Linked DNA regions of Schizosaccharomyces pombe. Changing the gene in region 1 together with any one later gene gives a genetic interaction. Each region holds a gene or a part of one and is shown in the gene's direction. Other genes may lie near its edges.

Region 1 (13,356 bases):
AGTATATTGGCGGCTTTGATATCTCTGTGGATTTTGTTTTGTCCATGAAGATAATTTAGCCCATAAAGGACCTCTCGAAGAATGATTGAAATTACTTGTTCATTCAACCTTCCCATTTTCAAAAGTCCCGAAACTGATCCTCCATCCATATGCTCCATCAAAATCCATAATGTGTATCCGTCAACAAAACAACCGTAATACTGAATTACATTGGAACTGTTGCAATTCGATAACATAAATACCTCTTGTTCGATGTCGGTAATGTCGTCAATACCTGTTTCTAAATCAATCTGCAACTGTAAGTTTTTTGTGATACTAAAGAAGAGTAAAAATTAATTAGTCTTACCTGTTTAATAGCGATAATGTCGCCAGACACATTTTCACGTGCTTTCCAGACAACCCCAAATGAACCTGATCCTAATTTCCGTAGCAGAGTATAAGAATTAGCATTGAGAGGATACATTTCATCAATATTTTGACTGCTCAAATCTGAGGTTGAGCCTACTTTCGGTTTCGTTTTACAAGCACAAGCTAGATGCACCACGAAGTACTTTGTTTATTACTTAGAGGATTATAATGAGCTACTCCGAGACGCCTATTCCAGTAAACTTAACATTACCAACTTGTTACGAAGTATATATAATTAGACTAGTTTATTATAAAGTATCGAGTTTTATGTCTGAATCTACCAAAGAGACAATAGAAGTTTTATACGAAATAGGAACATTGCTTGGAACTGAACTTGATAAAACAACGCTTTCACTCTGCATCAGTCTTTGTGAAAACAACGTACACCCAGAAGCAATAGCTCAAATAATTCGGGAAATACGTATGGCTCAGGAACAAACTGTTGACACAGAACCAAGTTAATGGCAAGAAGTTTAATCTCAATAGTTGACCTCGGGGTTTAGTATTTCTTTTATCTAATGTCTTCTTTAAACAGTGTTCTACCTTCAAATGCATGCGCAGAGATTATTGAAGGGAAAGACAAGGTTCACAATGTAGTTATTTTAATGCATGGACTTGGAGATTCTCACAAGAGTTTTGCAAATATGGCAAAGAACGTTCCGTTGCCCAACACTAGTTATATTTCCTTACGTGGACCATATCGATTACCATTAGATTTTGAAAATCCTGGAGGCAATTGGATGTGGGGAGAGGATGTCCATTTTGATCAAAACGGGGAACTGCAATCTGAAGCCGATTTCTCTAAAAGTTTTACGATGATTTCAAATTTAATTGGCAATCTACTCTCTTACGGTATATTATCTTCTAGAATATTTTTTTTCGGGTTTGGTCAAGGAGCTATGGTTGCTTTATATAGTTGTTATAAATTGTCTACTAAATACCAGCTTGGAGGGATATTTTCCTTTGGAGGTACTCTACCGCTATCCATAACTTTGCCCAATCATCCATTTCATGTTCCAGTGTATTTGTTTGAAAAGCGATTGCATTGTTCATGCAGCGAATATGAAGAATCGCGATTACGTAAAACATTTAAACCATTTCACCTCACATGTTGGAATCGTGATGATAAAACTGACATGCCTTCATCCCCTAGAGAATGGTATACATTCGTTCAATCTATTAGTAAACATTTGTATATTCACAACACGTTGTTTGAAGATGCAATTCCTCTTACATCTTTTTAGAATTGATTTATTTAAGTTAACATTTGTTCACAATAAAGTTAATATTCATTTGGGCATAGATATAACAATAACTCCTCTAGCCATTATGTGATTAAAATTAGTACGTTTACCTTTTGATCATTAAGATTTTCAATCGACAAGATAACTAAGATCCGGAAGCTTATCAACAATTCTATTAATTAGTTGATTTTGGTCAACTGTTTTTATATTTCCACGCCCTGCTCTCTCATTATTAAGAAACGAAGTATTGATCGATTGAATAACAGCCGGAGTGTCTTTAGGAGCTGACAATGAAGTAGAAGGTGAACTAAAATTCTGAAAAATTAGAGTATTTGGCTCAACTTGAGACTCTTCACTTACATCATCAACGGAAGCAGAAGCTAAATTCGATGAGTTTTTCGAGGTATCTTGGGAACTGACCCATGAACCCCATTCAAAATTATCAGAGGTTGGATCCGGGGAAAGAGACGTTGATGAATTTTTTTTCTTCGTTTCTCTAATTTTTTCTTCAGAGTCAAGTTTAGCGATTGATGAATGTTCTTCGACTTCATCAACTTTTTTACGATCCAAACTTAGTGGTGATTTTGGAACAACTTCATCCTCTTTATTTATTGAAATTGTAGAACAACTGTTGCTTTCCCTCTCAATCAATTTGACTGGGGAAGAAAGGAAAGTATTTGCAGATAATTTGTGATCCTGTTTAACAGCAACTGTATTATTTAAAAGAGCCGTAGAAGAAGAATAATCCTTGGGAATTTCATTCGATGATAAATTAGAAAAATCAAGTATATCTGAAGGAACATTTATACTGGAAATCTTGGTCGTAGAAAAATTAGATAAAGGAGACTGTTCCGGTAACAAAATATTTTTGTCATTGATGGGCGGTGTGACAGGTGAATTGGTATAGCTTGCTGTTTTCCTTTTCTGCTTCTGATAAGCTGTTGACCAACAAAAAAGCACATTGCTTTTTCGATTTACATTAGACCGTTCTTGGTTCCATAAAGTCATATGTTCTTTAAGTAAACGACTAATGGTTCCTTGTTTTAGTTCTCCTAAACTTTTCTCATTGTATCCTAAGCGGATTAATTGTCTAAAATTGGTTTCCGAGGTAGCTGTAATACCTATATAATCTTTGGATGCCAATGAAATCCGTTTAGGAGGCTTGACAACGCCAAATGTGTAATCCAACTTTTCATTAATATCTTTCAAATTAAATGTGTCAAGATTGAGAGCATTTTCTTTCCAGACTGATGCCTCCATTGAAAAACTGACATCGTTAGTAATTGAGGGAATTGCTGAATTCGAGTTGGATATATTTTCACTACCCCATGCATTATGAGGATTAGAGGCGTTCGAAAAACTAACAGAGTTCAGCAAATCATCCATATAAATCACATTCCAGTTCTTTAAGTTGTAGATTCTCAATTTAATAATATATGAGTGGATAAAAAAAACGTAGGTGCCATCAACTTCGGGTTAAAAAGAAAACAAAAAGAGCCTTAACTATACTTCTTTTATAAAAGGAACCTTTTTAGAGTATTAGTATAAATGCTCAAGATGAGTTGAAAGCGGTTCGGCTAGGGTAAGCGACTTAAGCCACCACATCGTGTGCAACGCAAGTAGGCAACTTAAATCCGTTCAACGTATTTAGTGTGAAATTAAAAATAAAATAAACTCAATTAAATTTCCGGAAGAAGAATAAATTTTATAAGTAATCATTTTAAAATAGGACAGAGTTTTTTAACAAATTTTAAGCTAGTAAACAATTAATCTAATACTCTGGCGAAAGTTGCTAGCTTTATTAAAGAGGAATCTCATATGGACTGAAGCATCGTGCAAATTTTTGAAAATTACATTTGGTAAATTAAAACCTAGATTATTTCATCTAAATAATATGGCTTAAAGTGCGCATAAATATGGATGCTGGTTTCAAATCATTTGAATATTATGTCTTGTGCAAAAAGCTCTTTAAAAAAATTACAGAAGTGCAAATGTACCACATATTTCAAGTTAAAATGAACCCTTCTAGGACTTCTAACAATTTTAGTAAATTTTCTCACTAAATCAATTATAATCTACATGAAATGAATCTAACATCGCACTCTTTATCGTTAAAGAATGTTTCATGGTAGCCAAATATCTTTCTTTTTTTAATTTTCCTAAAATGAAATTCTAGTATGGTTGAATTTATTACCGATCTGCATTTTATCGAGTATTATTGAAAATATTTCCATTTTTTAATTGTGCGCTAAGTATATAAGTCGCGTTATTAGAAAAATTATGATGTACTCGGTTAATTGAGCTCTAAAAAAAAAACAAAGTTATTAGTGTACTTCGCTTAAATAAGAATCTTATCTTCACATTCATACACAACTCACATCACGTTACGGAACTTCCGCTCCGCTCGTTTTTTATATTAACTACCAAAGACTATAATTTCATTCCTTTAAGCCTTCAGGAATGTCCATTCCTAAACAACTACCATGCATGGTACGTGCTCTGTATGCATGGCCAGGTGAACGTGAAGGTTCGTAACATTTAAAGATGCTGTTAAGTAACGTCGCAATTATTGATGTAAAGTTTAAAAAATATATATTAATGTGTTTTCAGGTGATTTAAAATTTACAGAAGGAGATTTAATAGAATGCTTAAGCATAGGTGATGGAAAATGGTGGATTGGCAGACATATCAATACTAATACACAAGGGATATTTCCTAGCAACTTTGTTCACTGTTTAGATATTCCCACGGTACGACCTGGCAGTTCTATGTCAAGAACTAGCGCTTCTAGCTTTAGATATTCTTCTCCTCAAAAAAGCTCTATAGACACCCCAATAACTTCATCTGATCAAGGTCTAACTCCTGATCTCGTTGGAAGCTCAAATGCTTTGAATAAACCAACCCGAGAGAGTGACTCACTAAAACACCAAAAAAGTCACCCCATGCTCAATTCGCTAGGATCAAGTCTGTCACTTAAGAAAAGCGTATCTAGACCGCCATCTTCAATGTCTCGTACCAACTTAGATGTCTCTTCCAGATGGGACAATACAGCCGATAACGACTCTCAGATTGATGCCCAAGATTTAAGTAGATCTACACCTTCCCCTTTAAGAAGTGCTATGGAAAATGTTCTTCAATCGTTAAATGCAATGGGCAAAAAAAGTTTTAGTCGAGCGAATTCCCCTCTTTTAAGACTTACGAAAAGCACTACAACTAGCAAAGAAACGGACTTCATTCCTGTCCCTCCTGCACATGGGTCCACAAGTATGACTTCTCGATCCAAGCTGGATGATTCAACAGATAATTCGTCAAAACCAAGAACAAGTTTGCAACCAGGAGAATCACCTATGAAGTCTTCAAGAGATATTTCTAGAAAACCTTCCATGGCTTCATCAGTTTTATCTCCGTCTGATTATTTTCCGCAGCACAGGCGTTTTCAGAGTGCTCCCGCACCTATTCCCAGACCCGTTTCAACATTGATACCACTAACTCAAGTTCGGACCACCGCGTCGAATGTTATAAAGCCAAGACCGCAAACAACGGAGCGACCCTCAACTGCTCAATCGTTTAGAAAAGGTGGTGGATTTTTAAAAAAAACTTTCAAAAAGCTTTTGCGTCGTGGATCGTCAAAACGTAAGCCCAGTCTCCAACCAACTCCTCCGGTAAGTTATCCGGCGCACAATGTTCCTCAAAAAGGTGTTCGTCCTGCATCGCCTCATACATTAAAATCAGTAAAAGATGATTTGAAACGTACAAAGACATACACGAAAGCCGAGTTTGCGGCGAAACGGGAAGAAATCTTCAATAAGCTTTCGATGCCGGTATATGAACCATTGAAGGATCTCAGTGAATGTATTGGGAATGTTTTAGCCGACGGCGAGCCAGTGCAGTTCTCTGTAGGTACTAATATTCATAACATGAATTTTAGTGCTATTGATAAACAAATAAGGTCAATTATTCCACAACGTGTCCAGGTCAGTCCTGCTGTACTTGCAAAAAATTATTTAGCTCCAGGACAAACGACTGCGCTCGCTCAAATGAGAGCCGTCTTTATATATATTTCTGAACGTATTACGTTCACTAATCAAACTTTGGACAATGATGAATTACGCACAAGTACACAAGTAATTTCCGAAGGACAGGGAACTCCTTTTGAAGTTGCACTGTTGGTTAAAGAAATGTTGCAAGCACTAGATTTATGGTGTGAGGTTATCGAAGGATATCTTAAATCACCAGATGACATCTATTATACCAGAGATATTAATATAAATCATGCTTGGAATGTTGTTACATTTGACAATGAGGTTCGTCTAATTGATGCTAGTTTTGCCAGTCCAACACACCCACAGCAGGCCTTGAAATCCAGCAGCTCCAATGATTTTTATTTTTTAATGAAACCAAACGAGTGTATATTTACTCACGTACCTGAGAATCCGGACCAGCAGTTTATAATGCCAGATTTGTCTATGCCTATAGTAATGGCATTACCTTGGGTATCGTCTGTGTATTTTACTTTAGGATTGAAGTTGCGTAAATTCAATACCAGTATTCTACATTTAAATGACCTTGAAGTTTTACAAATCGAATTTTTAGCTCCAAAGGATATTGAATGCGTTGCTGAAGTTGATGCTCTATCTGCTTTAGCACCTACTGCTGATGTTTCACAGTGTTATAAATACACGTTAACACAGGCTTTCTGGGAAACTCCGGATATTCGTGTTATGAGAGTTAAAGCTGTTATGCCTGCTAATAATCGTGCTGCGGTGCTAAGGATATACGCTGGTCGCTTAGGAGTCTCTAGTCCCGTGAGGACTGCACCTCATCCTATGGCAATGTCTCTTCCATTTGTACATCATGGCAAAAATAAAGCTCTAGAGTTTGTGACTCGTCATCCTGTACCACATTGTCCATCGGTTGATTTGTATATTAATTCCCCCCAATGTGGTACATTGCATTCTGGTGTTGAATACAAATTTAATGTTTCGGCCTATGCCTGCCAGCCATCTACCTCCATTAGCAATACCAGATTAGCAATACAGACCCCGACGGGAAACATTGTGCGTTTAAGAGAAGAACGATCTGGAAATGGCGTTATTTTTTTCAGCCTTTCCTTAACAATTAATGAAACAGGAGAATACAGAGCTTTAATTTTGGCTGAAAAGATAGGAAGATGGGTAGTCTATGCAACCTGGCAGGCGGTTTAAATAATTTCAAATCTTGCGACTTTATCCTATAAATTTTCCTATAAATAATGTCTGTTCTGTGTAATATTGAAGGTTGATGTTTACAACTAAGTCATTATTCATTTAATGTTTTTAATATATATCTATTACTATTGGAATCGTGATGTCCAAGCTTAACTGTATTCCCTTTGTTTCTTAATTTTAATGATTATAATAATGAGAAAGTTTTAACTATTAGATATGGCATCAGAAAAGCTAACAGTATCTTACAAAAAAAATTTTTTTATTAAAATCTTGCAAAAAATGAGAATTGTACTACGAATTCAAAAGGTCACTGACCATACTTTGATTGCAGCATCACTTCCAGTACTTAAAAGCTCATTTTCAGAAACCCATTCAACTTGGGTAGCTCCCAATGAGTGAGCATTTTTCATCGCAATATATTTCATGGGTCGTTCTACTGAATAAATGTGAATGTTGGTGTCTAATGAAGCGGTCGCTAAATGAGTAGATTTTGCATTCCACGACATTCCTAGAATACGGCCAGTGTGAAACGCCCAGCGAGAAGTAATAACTTCCCGAGAATTGGCGTCATAAAGTACAACCTTCCCTGAGGCATCACCACATGCAAGATACTTTCCATCCGGAGAGTAAGCTAAGCATGTAATCGGTGCTGTTGAATCTTTGCATTGAGCTACTTCACAAAGCTCACCTTTTTCAAGGGTATGGATGTATACACAACAGTCCTAAAAAAGTCAATAATTATATGGAAATTAAAATATGGTATCATACCTCCCCTCCAACGCAAAATTCACTTTTTAAGGGATGCGAAGCAACTGCGCTAGGCTGATAAATAGTCTTGGCTGTAGAAACACCAGTAAGACTACGGAGGACTTGGATATCCGAAACCGTTACCAAAATCAAACAGTCTTCAACCGAGCATACGCCAATAGGTTGGTAGCCAGTTGGAAAAACATTATCTTTCGCGAAACACCCTTGCTTGATATCGATTACCCTTAACGTGTCATCCATGCCAATGGTGATAACATGGTCATCAGCCATTATCATTTGCATGACTTGATTGGTATGACTTTCACCAACCAAAGGGAATGCTTTCTGTTTGCCGATATCCCATGAAAGAACAGTACCATCATATGAGGCAGTATAAAAATGGGTAGCATCAGGTGAAAGTGTAGCGGCAGTGATAGAGCGTTGGTGTCCGTAAATTGTATCAATTACCTTACAGTCCGAAGGATTTAGATATGTTAAGTTTCCCTTTGAGTTAACAACTATTATTAGGTCTTTAGTTGGCCAAACTGTTCCAACTAATTGCTTCTTGTCCGACGAAAGCCATTCGCGAATTAGGGAGCCGGTATTAGCATCCCATATTTTGCAACTGTAACCCGCAGAAGATGTGACAAATTGAGATGAATCTGGAGACCAAGAAATAGAGAAAATGGACCCCTTATGAGCATCAATTTCATAGACCTGATCTCCTGTTTTCCCGTCGAAAACATAAACCTTACCGTCGGCTCCAGCTGAAGCAAATCTTTCATCGTTAGGAGAGTAACGGACATCATAAACGAATTTGGAGTGAACGCGTAAACTTCGGTTGAATCTATAAGGAGTACCGTGAAAAAAATTGATGGAATTATCATCAGATGCAGTAGCAGCACGGAACGGTCTACTCTTGCGCAAAGAAACAGCATTCACTACGCTCGAATGTCCAAAAATCTGTAACCGTTAACATTTTAAGGAAGTTGGAGACTAATAAAACCCTTACTTCACCAACAGAATTACCAGAGTCAGCGGTGAACGCGTGTCCATATCTGTTAAAAGTAAGATTAGCAAGAGTCAACAAATATTGGAATTTTTGAAATTATGAGTAAATCCAATAATTTAACACATCCTTCGAAAACAATAGAAATCACTTACCGCTCTTTACCCTCACCAACAGCTATTATTCTCTGACTGTCTCCGTCTTTTCATCAATTAGCATATTGAAACTTGAACAGGCTTACCCCAGTCTAAATCAGTAATTCGTCCGCTAATAGCAGTAACTTGGTTCTTTAAAATTTTATCTTCTCCAGCACAATCCCATATGCGGACGTTACCTTGATTGTCTATAGTTGATCATTAGTAACGTTTAAAAATAAAAACTTAAGAAATAATAGCAATAATTAGCATTCGTACCGCCAGAAGCTACATAATATCCAGAAGGGCTAAATCGTGCTACAGTTGTAGGAGCAGTATGCTCATTATATTGAAAGCAGTTTTCCTGTTTCTCAATTTCACGAATTATTATCGCTTTGTTAGCCTAAAAACTATTTAGTAAATGTTCTTTAATCGACCAATTCATACGGATTCGACAAACTTACGGGATAAACAATCCTTTCACCTTTAAAATCAGTGCCAATTTTACAAGGCTGTGAAGGTTTTGTTGAAGGAACTGGCGCCCAAGTTGATTTTAACTGAGAAGACATTGCTCTGTTTTTAATTTATTGTAAGTAGCGAAGATGTGGTTCTATGCAGATGGAGCGTGCTACTAGGAGATATTTGACAATGAAACGAGCAACAGATTACCATATTAAAGAGGCGTATACTTTAGCAGTACATGTCATTGGAATATATGATTTATATAGGGATTAATTTTAATACTACCGTAGAAATCACTTTTTGCAACAATACACAGAAGAACGTTTTTATACTAATGCGGTCAAATAATAACCTAAAACAGTACAATATGACTTTAACGAACATGAATATCAAAATGAAAATTGATGAGTAATTAAAGAAGTAGATATCATGAAAAAAATTTAAGCAAAATTAAAATATCAGTTACTTTGCTTCTTTGAATTTTTCTTACTACGGTTAAGTTCCTTGAGCTTTTTATAATGAGAATTAGGTCGAATGGTTGAAGCTGAAGTAGTAGCAACAGCTCGTCTTGATACATCCTTCTGCAATTGCTCATACTGAGTTTTAAAACCGTCACGAACTCCTTTGTAAAACTCTTTTAAGGATTTAATAGGGTTTGTAATCAAAGTAAAGCCTGAAGGTTGCTTTTCTATTATTGATGGTAGCGGAGCGAAGCCAAGTTTACTTCGAACAACGGGATTTTTTAGAATATAACCTTGCACTATATTAAACAGACTGCTGGGTATCCAATACATAAATATTGCCTATTTGATCTTTGGTTAGTTATTCTTCTAAGATAAAGGCTTAAAACAGATTTGACTATTTTGAAAATTCACGTACGGCTGGAAGTTTAGCAGTTAAGAGAGGGCTTAAAAGACAGCACAAAAAGAAAAAAGTTCTCCAGTTGGTAGAATTCCCTATAGTAGATGCAGTATTTGCACGATTCATCTGCATTCCAGAAAACATAAGTCCGGCATTAATAATGGGAAGAATGCAATAAGGATCAGGTATTGACAAATCTTTAAACCATGCAAGTCCTCCAGTGGTAAAACCGTCTACCGACAAACGAGACATCTTTCTAATTGCATAAAAAAAACTAAAGAAAACGGCACTCTGGGTCAAAGGAAGAATAAATATAGCAAAAGGATTAACATTGTGCTTTAAATATATGCCTCGCAAGGCAATGCTATGTTGATTTAAAGCAAGCTGATCATTATCCAGTTTTGCTGTTTTAATCGCCTCTAGTTCTTTTTTCATCTCAGGCTGTATAACGGACAGCTTCGTGCTATTACGAAATGAAGCTATCATAACTGGAGTAAGGGCCAAACGAACCCCCAAAGTTGTGAGTATGATAGAAACCCACCAAGGAGCTCCTGCATATACATTAATCGTGTAAGCAGTATTTTGGATTAGAGCATAAGGCCACCACGATGGGTTGAACCCAGAAGTAGCTGTACTAACTTCAGCGAGTACATTGGTAGAAGAGGGTCGAAATTGAAACCCCAATCTTTTTGATAGAATAGTTTTAGATTGTAATCTTTTTCTCAGAAAACTAGAAGTGGAGTTAAAATGGGGGCTTCCAGCGCATCGCCTAAATTGGTCAATTACCAAGCATTCAATATATCAAGTTTTTATAGTTTTTTTGTAAACACTTACGTTGAAGGTCTAATTAGAAAATGTAACATTGCTTCAACTAATAGTTTATAATTCGAGATTAACTAGTCTTCAAAAATAGATTAGTCCATATGATAATATATATTATACGATCGGGAGAAGTTAAGTCGTCCTTCATATTCTTATACGGGTGGATTTAAGTGGACAAGGTGCTTGTGTTAAATCAATGATATACATTTATTGTTTGGATTTTTATTTTTTTATTTTTTTTTTTTTATTTGATAATATTTCGCCCAAACGAACGTGTTGCATTTCATTAAGTTTCTGGATTTTTCATGGTATGTGCATATTATTACGACAGTTTGACTATTTAGAACCAAATAAATGTTAGCAAAATAACAACAAAAGAAATACATAGAGAGAATTGAATTTTTTATAAATTATTCGAATTTTGAATACCCTTTAGTAGAAATGGGGTAATCGGGATGTGCTAAAAATATACTGAAATACTTAAACATTCCATAAATAATTTTTTTAAGCCATTTTAATTGAATAAATATTTGCGACTGAGGTTTTAGAGATAAGTGATTTAAATTCTGCATTGAAAAAAAAGCAAAAATTTATCAGTATAAGTGAGCCTTCCATTACATTCTCTTAGCTACCGTTAATTAAAATTTGAAAATGAAAAAAAATATATATATATATATTAAAAATTTAGTGTTTATAAAACGTGAGCTACCATCTGAACTCAAACGCTAAAAATATGACAAACATTTCATAATATGTCTTTAAGCAATCAATCTCATGAGACTTATAAATCGCAATTTTTAAATTAAAATTTTATAATCACTTTACTGTGGATGAACTGTAATTGCCTTCTTTTGTAACATGCTACCGTTTATTTTTTATGTACTACTGCATTATTAAATTTGAATAAACCGACGTATCAAAGCTTCAGTTATGTATAATTTTGAGCTTAATTACAAGTTTAGTTTTTATTTTTATATGAAATAGCTATAACTTGAAAGGTACGATTATAGGATTGGAGATAGTAAAGCCAATTATCAGAGCCAACTCCTGCCCTTAAAATAGTAACAAATAGTAGAGATTAATAAATTGAAAAATAGAAGGTCAGAAAACTAACTTATTAAATGAAATCCATAATACAATATTCTTATGAATAGCTCAACTTGAAAGTTGAGATCTTTAGGGTAGGGTTTGAAGCAGTCACATTTTAATTTGTCCTGAACAATTATGAAGCATAAGTTTTCTAGCACCACCTTTCTCCAACAAAAGTAAAAATGGCATCTGTGGTTACCAAGAAGTCTAAAAAGAGCGGAGACACTATCAACGCCAAGCTTGCACTTACCATGAAGAGTGGCAAGTATGTCTTGGGTTACAAGTCTACTTTGAAGACCCTCCGCTCTGGTAAGGCTAAGCTCATTTTGATTGCCGGTAACTGCCCTCCTCTTCGCAAGTCAGAGCTTGAGTACTATGCCATGCTTTCTAAGGCAAATGTTCACCATTACGCTGGCACTAAGTAAGTTTCATTCCAGTTTATGGCTTTATAAAATTGCTTTGTTCTAACTGAGTTATTAGCATTGATCTTGGTACTGCTTGCGGTAAACTTTTCAGAGTTGGTGTTTTGGCCATTACCGATGCCGGTGACTCTGACATCTTGGACGCTTAGGTAAAATAATAAGCATTAAGTTTGTCTTAGTATCATATTTTTACTTCCCCCTTTAGCATGCAGATGATGTATTTACCTTCTTTTTTGTAATTTGCTCCATATAAGTTCATTACTATGTTCTATTTAATTTCATTAAAAAAGTCAGAAAGACTAATTGTAATTAAAGCTGTAAATTGTTATTATCCTTCACCTTGAATAGTTTAGTATACATTAAAGAACGAACATTACTAATGCACTCAACATCCACTTCTAAAGGAAGCAACGAAGATTTGGCATTTCGTGTTAAACTGAATGCAGAACGAGTAGTAATCGCGGTTAACACATTCGCCTAAAACCATGTAATTAGTCAACACTATAGTTTATTGTGTCTGGGGTAACAATAGCTGGCGGTAAGTTAATGGAATCAATGCGTAGTTCATTAGGTTGTCTTAGGCCAACGTTGCTTGCTACTGGAAGAGCAGACTCTTCTTTGTAAGATGCAGCTAAGCTATCTGTTTCAGCCTTGGAATCGTCATGCCTTCCGGCAAGCAATTGTGCTGTTTTTTCTTCTGTTATAGTATGAGAAAGGCTGGTCTTTTTTGTAATAGTGGCGGGGGGCATAGTTATTATTGTCTTTTTGCGGAAGTCAGTAATCCAGGGGTGTGTCAATAAATCTACTGCCCTTGGCCGTTGTTCAGGATCACGCTCAAAGCATTGTTCTATAAAGTCTCTAGCCAGACTAGATATTTTTTCATTCTGGGGAATTGATGGCGTATGCATTGCCGCAACATGGTACATAATGGCCCATTCATTATCCATTTCA
Region 2 (11,021 bases), on another chromosome or scaffold:
TTTTTCGACTCTTCACCAAGAAATTTAGATTTCGAATGATTTTCAACATCGTCAGGATGTATATCACTCATAGTTTCATCTTCAGTTTGAGTTTCATCGGTTTGAAAACTCACATTGGTGTTATTACTATTATCAGCACTTTCGGGACGAATAAATATTTTGCTTAAACCATCTCTGTGTTTTTTAACCGATTCAATATTTTCAGAAGCAAGGTTAGTCTCAAGTGCTTCGCGAGGTAGCGGAATGCCAAAAAATTGCGATAATAAAGCTTTCAAAACAGCACTAATTCGACCCTTGTCAGCGTATGAATAAAAAGAAGAGTTTGTTAACTGAGCATCACTTAGCCGCAAAATATTCAAAAATATGAGACTATCACATAAAACTTGGGTAAACTGAAACCCCAACTTGGCCCCATCGATCCGATGCTTTTGTCGTTGATAAATGTCATCAATATCGCGAAGAATACGGCTATAAGATAATCCTCTACGGTCTCTCCCTTCTATTCTGCAATATCTGTCGTCAAATGCTGCTTGAGCATTTTTCTTTTCGATTTGCCGCCAAATTTTACTCCACTCTCGCTTGCTTCGTCTCCATTCTTGATCTTTGGTTTTAATACGTTTCAGAAGTACAGGAGCCGCAGTGGGTAATTTTTTAAATAAAGTGTCAAGAGCCAAATTTGCATGCTCTTTGCCATAAACGATTATAAGGGCGTTCTTAATTATTCGTTTTGATCGCTCGAGTTCTTGAAGGGCGGTTTCTAAATGCTCGTGAATCGTCGGCTCACAAAAGTTTGCAAGTATTTTTATAGCAGACTCGGTAGTATTCAAAACTCTATCGTAATCATACCGTTCGTCTTCTACTAGTTGCAATGCCTGTAGGTACTGATTTTCATGATGCATTATATTTTTGACATGGGATGGTTTGGGAGCTACAGAAATATAATCGTCATTCAAAACAGAATTGTCCAAATCATCACGACCTGAGCATTTGTCCTGTTTCCAGGAATCCGGAAGTTTGCGATAAGTCAGTGAAATGCACTCAAAAGTTTCTGGTAAATAAACACGTTCGTCCACCGGTTCGTTTTTTACAAGTATTGGGTTATCACTCCACCTAATAAATTCGGAAAACCACAATGTCAAATTATCATTTCTAACAAGTTTTGAAAAAGAATTTAATAATTCTGTTTTATCCAATAACTTTTCCCGATAAAGATGAAGAAGCTCAAGGAACTTGTGAAAGGCTAAAGTGTCAGGTAAATGCTGTCTAATCGTTGTGAAGGCTAGTAATTCTTCCTGGGTAGCAGCATAAGGGGACGTGGGAGCAGTGATTTTTTGCGGATATACATGAAGGGAATAAGAGTTCAATGGCTCTTCAGCAGTTTGTCGATACATCCTCGAGGTTTTAGATATCGATCTACTGATTTGGGCAGAATGAGCCGGTCGATTTCTTTTTTCACGTACAGGTGCAGAAGGGGGAAGACTGAAATTCCCAACCGGAGGAAGACGGTTTGGAGATTTCTGAACATTAGGGGTGGATGGCTCAGTTGAATCAACATTATCAGGAAGAAAAAGTTTAAACTCCTCCAACAAATCTGGTGAATCTTTAAAAATTTCAGCGACCCTCGCACGCACTTCAAAAATCGACTTTTGTGCTTTCTGATAAGTGCGCAAAACACCTAAAAATTCCATGTACGTGTCGGAATTTGGTGGATAACGAGCCTTAACTTTGTTCATATAAGCAATCGCATAGTTAAAATCTACCCGAGGCTTCTCGTTTTCAGTACTGGAAACTAAATTTGGAGCAGATGGCTGAGGTTGAGAGTCAGTAGGACTAGTGGATTCCATTGTTCGCTGATCTTCATTAGATGGAGCCACGGGCAATGTACTTTGGACGCCCTGCTGGGGAAGTGGGTGCATAGGAGTACCTACACGTACAACACTAGTGTTTGAAGAGTCCAATTGTACTTCTATTTTGTAACCGGATGGAAGAAACGTGTTAAAGCCTTCAATAAGTTGAGGGTAACCGTTAAACAACTCTGATACACGATTAATAACTCCCAAGGTGTCAAGCGCCTGAGATTTGAAATCGCGCATAATTTCCAAAAATCGATTGTAAATTTCTCGGCGTTCAGAAAAATAATATTTTACTAACTCAAGATAGGAAAGCGCATCGTTCACATCCAAAGGACGATTAGAAGAAGAACTTAATCCTTCTGCATTTTGTGAAGAAATGGAGCCATCTTTACCAGAAATCGATGATAAGGCGAGCGAGGAAACTATGGTTTTTCCTTTTTCGTAATCATCGCGAGTTACACTTCTTTCCGATAAAATCTGTTTGTTTTCAACAGGTTCAGTAGCTACGCCATTATCTTTTCCATCACCATTGTGCAAAGAGGTGTTTACAGGTGACTGGGATTGAGACGGTGACGCTTTTGGTAAATGGTTTTTATCAGATTGTGTCTCAACTTTGTCGCCTATAATATTAGCATTTGTTAAAAACGAACCTCATAAACCAAGATTGTTTCTCGAAATGATGTTTCGCAGAAGAAGCATGTAAAAACTTACCAGGATTGTCGCGTTCTGAGTCGACAGGCACATTCATTACATCCATGGTTAAAAACTCATAAATGCAACAGAAATGACTGCTTTATCTCGATAGTTGCAGTCTTGCAATGTCTGAATCGCGTTACGGGAAAGGTAAGATTGGTTTGTTGTGTTTGACACAAGTAAATGTCATCACGTAACGTGCGTGCTACACACACCTGCCTACCTTAACTAATTTCCAAAACATCAGCAGTTGAGTTGAATTTAAAAATCATTAATTTCATTCTTTGATTAGAGTAAAGAATTTTAATTCATGTTTATTGTGTCAAGAAATTCTGACATCAATTTTTTAGTCGTTTCCTTGCCCCATCTAGCATCTTTGACTGTTCGTTACTTTTGAACGTTGAAAAAATACTATACCCTTTTGCTCATTATTCTCATTTTACGGAGTACGCAGTACAAATTATGGCGCTGCATCTCCTGTACGTTCTCATAGGCTACGCACGCGTTGCATGGCTACCTCGTTACTATGGCATCTGCTTCGTAAACAAACATCGTTTCTAAATTTGTAAACAATGAAATCAGTAACAATTTCGAATGGAATAAAAGCAAGCTGTGGTCCATCATTCTGCTTGTTCTGAGGCTTTGGTATTGATCGTCTTAAGCCCTCTAAAAGCAAGGAATTATCGCTATCTGGAAAATTTATAATATCAAACAACCCAAACACTTTTATTCATTTCTTGCTTTGTGGAAATTTTTGAAAGCATCAACATGAGTTTTCAGAATCCCAGCTATATTAATGCTAAACACCGGTCCTTCTTGCAACCTAAGGACACTCAAGATTCGCAGGATTTACGAAACTGGGTCAGTCACAGTAGTGTAGATGAAGAAACAGCATATTCTAGTTCGACCCTCAGTTCGAGTTCTTCTAAAAGCTTTCCTTGTTACGATGAGTATGATGAGATAAAATCTCCTGACGATCAAAAAGTCGAGTATATGAAGACGTTAAGGACCTTGGAAGAAGATGCTTTTTCTTACACAGATTCAGTTTACGATTTTGAGGAGCGTTCATTTGATGAACACGAGCCACCTATCCCTCCACTTCACAAAACTGGAGTTTTTAGCGTTCCTCTTCAACCAACCCATACTGTGAATAGTAACTCAGACGACGGTTATGAAAATTCCTCCAAGAATGAGTATCTGGACTTTAATTCAGAAATCTCTGCTTCGCCCGTCAATGAACCAATGACGCACAGTCAGTCATACACCTCGATTGATCGCTTGAATTCATCAAGTTCGCACTATTCCAAAGATGTTCCATTATTATGTGGAAGCCTGACTATTGATTGCCCAACGCCAATAGACTTACGTGGCATGCTTGGTCCATTTATGCAAAAAAACCCCGATGAAGCAAGTTTCCTGCGGTATTCGGCCATTACCTGCCAACCAGAAGATATGAATAATAATGGGCTTCAACTACGAACATGGTCCACGGGTCGCGACATTCAAATTGCTGTTTGTCTAACACTTAGCGATGAGGATTTGGCATCTTTTGCCATTTCTCTTTCTAGTATCATGAATAATTTAAAACATCTTTGCTCACGGTCTAAGTCGCGGGTATGGGGAAATGAGAGTTGGGAAAAGGTTTTAGTATGTGTCGTAATTGATGGCCGTAACACTGTTCACCAAAACGTCTTGGACTTGCTTGCATCTATAGGAGTGTATCAACCTCACATTGCTAAAGGGAGAGTAAACGGAAAAAGAACTTTATCCCATATGTATGAATTCACAAGTACCATCAACGTTGATGAGAAACTCAATCTTACAACAGCGACTGGTGACGGAAACGTTCCAATGCAGATGTTACTCTGTGTTAAGGACCGTCGTCTAGGCACTTATAACTCGCATCGCTGGTTTTTAAATGGTATAGCATCGCTTGCTCGTCCCAAGGTTTGTCTCTTTGTTCGTAACGGTGCAAGGCTTGGCCCAACATCTATTTATCATGCGTGGAAAGCTTTTGATGTTGATTCCACTATTGGAGGAATGTGTGGTAAAACTTCGATTGATACAGGAAAGTTTGGCTTTAGACTGTTAAATCCATTCATTGCTTCTCAACATTTTGACCAAATGATCCATAACAATCTTCGCTTACCGTACGACAGCTGCATGGGTTATATTTCAAATGCGCTTAACGCAATTTATGGATTTCGATACGTCGCTTTGCAAGATTCATATCCAAACCCTGGACCACTAGCCGATTATTTCGAGCAAGACCAATATGAAATTCCTAGGAGAGGTATCTTACAATCCAATGCTTTTTTGGCACAAGAACAACTCCTTTTCTGGAAAGTAATCACCCGAAAAGATGCAAAATGGCATTTGCAATATGTACCTGAAGCTTGTGCTACTATTGAAGCGCCCAATTCAATGGCTGGAATACTAGAGTCTAAAAAATCTGAAATTAACAGTAGCTTTAGTCTTGCTGTCTATGTTATAGTTGATTTTTTTTCTTTATGGACTACCCGGCACAAGTTCTTTCGATTCCTTTTGCTCACCGTTCAATCGCTCGTCTTTGCAATTGAGAAGTTGGTGAATTTTTTCTCAATGGCAAATTTCTTTTTGGCCTTCTACTTTGTATGCAATGCCACTTCATACAGCTCATTGAATCCGTATGGTAATTGGGCCCGACCTTTATTTCTGGTTTTCGAATATATTCTAATTTGTTTAATTTTTTCACAGTTTATGCTAGCAATGGGCAATCGACCACGGAGGTATGAATGTTTGTTTTAAAAATTTCTCATATTAACTAATTGTTTAGCTGTCGAGTTTTACTGTTCATTAGTACTGCATTGTTTTCCATTATTATGATTTATTTCGTTTTTTGTGTTTTTTATATTTCATTGATACCATTACACAACTCAGATAATTCTGAAATTGTTTTAGGCAACAATTATTTCACGACCTTAATTTTCTCTTCTTTATTAATTCTAGCATGTTATGCTTTCGTTTCTTTAATTTGTATGGATCCTTTTTTTATCTTTACTTGTATTGTGCAATACATTCTGCTGATGCCAACTCGCATTTATACTGAGCAAATATATGCACTTTGTCATCTTGATGATGCTTCAATTTCGAAGGATGATAACCAGCAAGAATTTAATTTTGACACAGGTATTACCCATTGTTCAATGAACGACGAAGGCTATACTACAATCAGTATTCCAAAAGCCAACGTGTTGAATTCTGTATATAACTCTTCTTTAAAAAATTTCAGTTCTTCTAATGATACTTCGGTTTATCACGATGTTCAGGACCATTGCTATCGGAAGCCACAATCCTATGAGGATCACTACCAAGACATTCGTACTCGTTATGTGCTAGTTTGGGCTGTAAGCAACTTAATTTTAGCCATTGTTCTGATTCAGGTATTCGATGGCATGCGTTTTATTAATAATGGCTACATGAAGTATATATTTTGGAGTATCGTAGCCTTCACTGCTTGGAAAACCATGGGAGCTGTTACATTCATAGCTACCAAGATCATTTCACGAATTGCTAATTGTGTGAAATCAAAACTTTACATTTTTAATGATCCTTAATGATACAACTAAATTTATCTTGTAAATATTTCTTCTATGACCGATATTTTAAAATGAAACAATGTAGGGGATTTATAGTAATTTCAATTACTATACAAGTTTTCGATTGTTAATCTAGTTGTTTCGTTCCAAAAAGATAGTGCTTCCTTCTAAAACCTCGTTTTTAACGCATTTGTCCGAATCAAAAGTATTATCAACGATGCTTAAAGTTTTGCATTTCTTGATAAGACTTTGAATACTGGCAGATTCCGAAGTAATGAGTTTGGAATGTTCTTCATCAGGATGAATGTATACCACAGCATCTGATTTGATTCCATTTTCAGCCATCATTGAACGAGTAGAGTGAACGACAGTAATGATAGACTCGTAATATTTAGCAGCTATCTCGTTAGAATAGTCTACCCTTTCAACTGGGAAAGCAGCTTTAACGATAGTCTGAGTTTTGTCTCCAGGACGACGAGGAAGTCTCTGCCACATCTCTTCAGTAACGTATGGCATAAAAGGATGCATTAAACGAAGAGCGTTGTCAAGGACAGTATAGAGGGTTTGCTTAGCAGATTCTTGTTGTACCTCTGTACCATCACTTAGAAGGTATTTTGAGTTCTCAATGTAAACATCACAAAGTTCATACAACCAAAATTGGTGAACAGCTGAAGTAGCTTGAAGGAAGTTCATTTCTTCCATGTTTTTGTTCATAGCGGCTGCTGCGATGTTCAAGCGGTGGAAAATCCACTTTTCTACAAGTGATTCATTACCAGTAAGATCGGCAGTCTTGTTAGGAACGAAATTAGAACCTAGACGACCCAAAGCAAATTTTGTAGCATTGTACAACTTGTTACAGAATTTACGATATCCTTCAACACGAAGGATATCAAGGTTGAGATCACGACCACCAGTAGTCAAGGAACAGAGGGTAAAACGCAAAGCGTCAGTTCCACATTGAGGTATACCCTTGGGATAGCTCAACCGTTGACCCTTTTTAGCTTTTTCGACCTCTCTGCTGTCGAGATTGCCAACCAAAAGCTTATCATGTAATGCTTGTAGAGAAATACCCTCAATGACATCTATAGGATCCACAACATTTCCCAATGATTTAGACATTTTGCGGCCTTGAGCATCACGAACGAGTGCATGACAAAATACACGTTTAAAGGGAATCTTTCCGGTTAATTTGAGACCCAACATTACCATACGAGCAATCCAGAAGAAAAGAATATCCCAACCTGTTTCCATCAGAGTAGTAGGATAGAAATTTTCATAATCGCTAGTATCCTTTGGCCAGCCAAGGGTAGAAAAAGGCCACAATCCGGAGGAGAACCAAGTATCAAGAACGTCTTCATCCTGTTCTAGTGTGAAAGACTTTCCAGGAAAAGCAGCTTTAGCTTTCTCTTCTGCTTGTTCCAAAGTACGACCAGTAACCCAATAACGGCCTTCACTTCGATCTTGAGAAGGTTCGTCAGCTAAATTTACAAAATAGGCTGGGATACGATGACCCCACCATAATTGACGAGAAATGCACCAGTCTTGGATATTTTCCATCCAGCGAATGAATTCTCGGCGAGACATATCAGGAGCAATTTCGATTTCACCAGACTTTACAACTTCAGCTGCGGCTGCAGCCATCTCTTTTTGATTCACCCACCATTGAGGCTTCATGACTGGCTCAATAATATCCGAAGTCTTCCCACAAAGTGGAATTACCATTGGATTTTCCTTGGTACCAACAAATAAGCCGAGCTCCTTGAGTCGTTCAACAACCTTAACACGAGCAGTAAAACGCTTCATGCCAGCAAATTCTCCACAATTTTCATTGAGAAGACCATCGTCAGTGAAAATATTAATGAACTCCAAATTATGACGCTTTCCAACTTCATAATCGTTAGGATCATGAGCTGGAGTGATTTTAACAGCACCGGTACCAAATTCCATATCAACGATTATGTCGTCACAGATGATAGGAATTGAACGGTTACAGAAGGGATGTTTTACAAATTTACCGTGTAGGTGCTTATAACGAGGATCCTGGGGATGAACAGCAACAGCAGTATCTCCGAGAAGTGTTTCTGGACGTGTAGTAGCAATAACAATTCGTTCGTCAGAACCTTCAACGGCATAAGCGATGGAAGTCAATACACCCACTTCGACGGGTTCATCATATCCAGGGACCTTGAGCAAAGTACGGCCAGGAACGTCAACGTTTTCTACCTCAAGGTTTGATAAAGTTGTTTGTAAAGCAGTACACCAATTCACGAGACGATTAGCACGGTAGATAATATTTTCCTCATGCAAACGAACAAAGGTTTCAACAACGGCACGACTAAGATTTTCATCCATAGTAAAGGCTTCACGAGTCCAATCAAAAGAACCACCAAGTCGAGACATTTGGTTTTTTATACGGTTATGGTATTCTTCTTTCCATTCCCAAACAATGTCAACAAATTTATCACGAGGATAATCATGGCGAGTCTTCTTCTGCGTGTACCAAAGCTTCTTTTCAACAACAGATTGGGTACTTAAACCAGCATGATCGAAACCACCCAGAAACAAAACTGTTTTACCAAGCATTCTGTTCCACCGAGCTAACGAATCTTGAATAGCAATCGTAAGAGCATGGCCAATATGCAAAGCACCAGTGACATTGGGAGGAGGAGATGTAATAACAAATACGCCCTCTTTCTTAGGTTTACCATCAGGACCAAACTCGGGTTCAAAGAAACCAGACTTGACCCACCAGTCATACCAAGCAGACTCAACAGCTTTGGGATTATAGGACTTCAAAGCAGGAGAGTCCAAGTCTTGAAGGACTTTTTTCTCACCAGGAGTGGTCTTTTCGACATACTCGGCAACTGGTGAAGCAATCTTAGCCTTCTTATCAAGTTTAGGCTTTCTTGCCTCCTAATAAAATGATTAGTAACGTTGATGCTATCTAGCTGGTAGTATTCCAATTGAAAATATAAAGGTATAAAGTCATTCACAAATGACAAATGAAAATTCAAAATACTGAATACTCCAAAAATTAAGCATACCTCCTTCGCCTTCTTGGCCGCCAGCTTTGCATGATACTTTTCAAGCTTAGCCGCCTTTTGGCGTTCACGCTCTACTATATAGATGTTAGAAATGATAAGGTGATGCATATGAATTTGTATTTCAACAACTCACATTCTTTCTCGGTTTTAGGCCTAGGCTCACCAGAACCAGGTGCGGAAGAATCCTTCAATTATTAGAAACCAATTGACAAAAGTTCAACTCACCTTAGACTGAGCAGCTTCACAGCCTTTGTCTGCCATTGGAAAAGTGTGTTGTTGAAAGAATTGTTCGGGTGCAATAAAAAGTCACATAACGAACTTGTCATTAAACGTTACAAGTGATTAAAGGATTTGCATTACGCTGCACTCCCCGGTTAACGAATTTTAAGACACTTGAAATCAATAATGAATCCTTGTAAACAGCGTTCGTTATCTACATGTTTTTTTTAATATCATTTAAATTTTTGCATATTTATTAGTATAAATTGAACAGTAGTTGGTTCTCTTTTAATTATGCTTCATCGGTCTCCTTGTTGCTGAGAGCAAAATGTTTGCACTCATCAACAAGCATGGTTTAAATGTCGTCGTTATTGCACTCTTAATAGATGGCTTTTATAGTTGATAGCTATGATTTTGTTAATTTCAAGTAGCAATTTTTAATTTGATTTGTTTAATCTTTGCAAATCAGCAGGAATATCAGCATCACTACAACAAATCAAGGACTATAAAGTAGGATGGAAAAAAGAAGTCCTGAGACAAGATTCAACGTAAAGGTGCAAAAGTTTAATAAAAGAATTTAGTTTATAGCATTGGATTGTTAAAAAATCGTCTTATCGACCAGTAGTATAAAAAGATGAAGTTTTATACATTAGATACAAAAAGTAATAAACGAAATACGAGTCGTTTTATTTAATAAAATGAGAGAAACTATTATTCACGACATCCTCTTTTAAATCAAATTTTTAAAGACTAAACGTACCAGGTATTAACACAGAAGAGTAATGGCAATTACACTTCGTTGGTTGTAACCCAAGGAGCTGCGATCTACCACAAAAGGACTACAGAAGTGCTTCCCTCCACCATCCTTGCGAAATAAACACGTATGAGTCTCCTTAGATATTTTATTTTCTTTATCGGTGGATGTACATTAGCTTTGGCCTCAGGTTCGTCCTAAATAGTTTTAGATTGCGTTTATTAACCAGTTTTAGGTGTTTCATATACTGAGGCTTCAGTTTATATGTCAGGTCTCTCTGGTAATGAAAATGAAGTCCCTTCAATTTCTCCTTCAGATTCCAGGCTTGTATTTGCTCATAAACTGGGCGTATCACGGTTCCACAAGCTGAAATCACATAGCGGTGCTAGAAAAATTATTAATGAAATGCTCCACAGTCATTCTGAGCTTTCTTCTTTTTTTTATGCAGAAAAGTCTAATACTTTTTTGACAATTGCCGGATTGGCGGAGTCTGAACTGTTTGATACTCTGAACCCTGCTTTTCGCATCTCTTCTTGTCCTTCCAGTAATGCATTTGCCAGTTTAATGTGTCGATATGAGCGTCAGCTTGATTCTTTAGATAATGGAAAAACTACTGATATATATTTAAATGACATTGGCGGAGTTATATCAATTCATGATTCAACTGGCGTTTATTCACAAATAACTACTACTCCCTATAAATCTTTAGAAGATTACGAGCAGCTTTTTGGTGAGGATAAAGCTTCTATGTTTGACATATCTGTCAAGCAAGATAGAGTTTTCCTTTCTGAAATATACGCTCTAAAAATCCTTGTCGAATTTTTAAGCTCAAAATCGCAACAAGAGCGGTCCGATACCAGTATTGTTATCGGCCAATTAG

What was found.
Region 2: of cyk3 (region 1) and chs2, changing one suppresses a phenotype caused by changing the other (phenotypic suppression), as found in Schizosaccharomyces pombe (one study listed by BioGRID).

Annotation. Positions count from the first base shown.
Region 1 is NC_003424.3:1,972,864-1,986,219, reverse strand, and holds cyk3 (cytokinesis protein Cyk3), read left to right. Parts: upstream 1-4,070; 5' UTR 4,071-4,112; coding exon 4,113-4,179; exon of another isoform or gene 4,180-4,262; coding exon 4,263-6,856; 3' UTR 6,857-7,158; coding exon of another isoform or gene 7,159-7,581; 3' UTR 7,582-7,627; coding exon of another isoform or gene 7,628-8,569; 3' UTR 8,570-8,618; coding exon of another isoform or gene 8,619-8,664; 3' UTR 8,665-8,770; coding exon of another isoform or gene 8,771-8,816; 3' UTR 8,817-8,856; coding exon of another isoform or gene 8,857-8,958; 3' UTR 8,959-9,028; coding exon of another isoform or gene 9,029-9,152; 3' UTR 9,153-9,213; coding exon of another isoform or gene 9,214-9,318; 3' UTR 9,319-9,466; downstream 9,467-13,356. Other genes in the region: PAK-like GC kinase Sid1, read right to left, coding at 1-290, 347-463; putative mitotic spindle organizing protein Mzt1, read left to right, coding at 676-870; SPOM_SPAC9G1.08C (phospholipase), read left to right, coding at 927-1,652; SPOM_SPAC9G1.07 (Schizosaccharomyces specific protein), read right to left, coding at 1,782-1,967, 2,013-3,038; actin cortical patch component Aip1, read right to left, coding at 7,159-7,581, 7,628-8,569, 8,619-8,664, 8,771-8,816, 8,857-8,958, 9,029-9,152, 9,214-9,318; translocase Oxa101, read right to left, coding at 9,670-10,014, 10,091-10,841, 10,907-10,935; rpl3001 (60S ribosomal protein eL30), read left to right, coding at 12,166-12,404, 12,464-12,554; MAP kinase kinase kinase Wis4, read right to left, coding at 12,897-13,356. UniProt on the Schizosaccharomyces pombe protein: Involved in cytokinesis.
Region 2 is NC_003423.3:1,092,044-1,103,064, forward strand, and holds chs2 (chitin synthase-like protein 2), read left to right. Parts: upstream 1-3,177; 5' UTR 3,178-3,314; coding exon 3,315-5,314; intron 5,315-5,361; coding exon 5,362-6,142; 3' UTR 6,143-6,185; downstream 6,186-11,021. Other genes in the region: SIN3 family co-repressor, Clr6 and Rpd3L histone deacetylase complex subunit Pst3, read right to left, coding at 1-2,473, 2,565-2,610; vrs1 (valine--tRNA (Val) ligase Vrs1/Vas1), read right to left, coding at 6,257-9,037, 9,169-9,242, 9,302-9,353, 9,394-9,429; SPOM_SPBC1709.03 (uncharacterized protein), read left to right, coding at 10,271-10,331, 10,377-11,021. UniProt on the Schizosaccharomyces pombe protein: Plays a role in septum formation. Has no chitin synthase activity.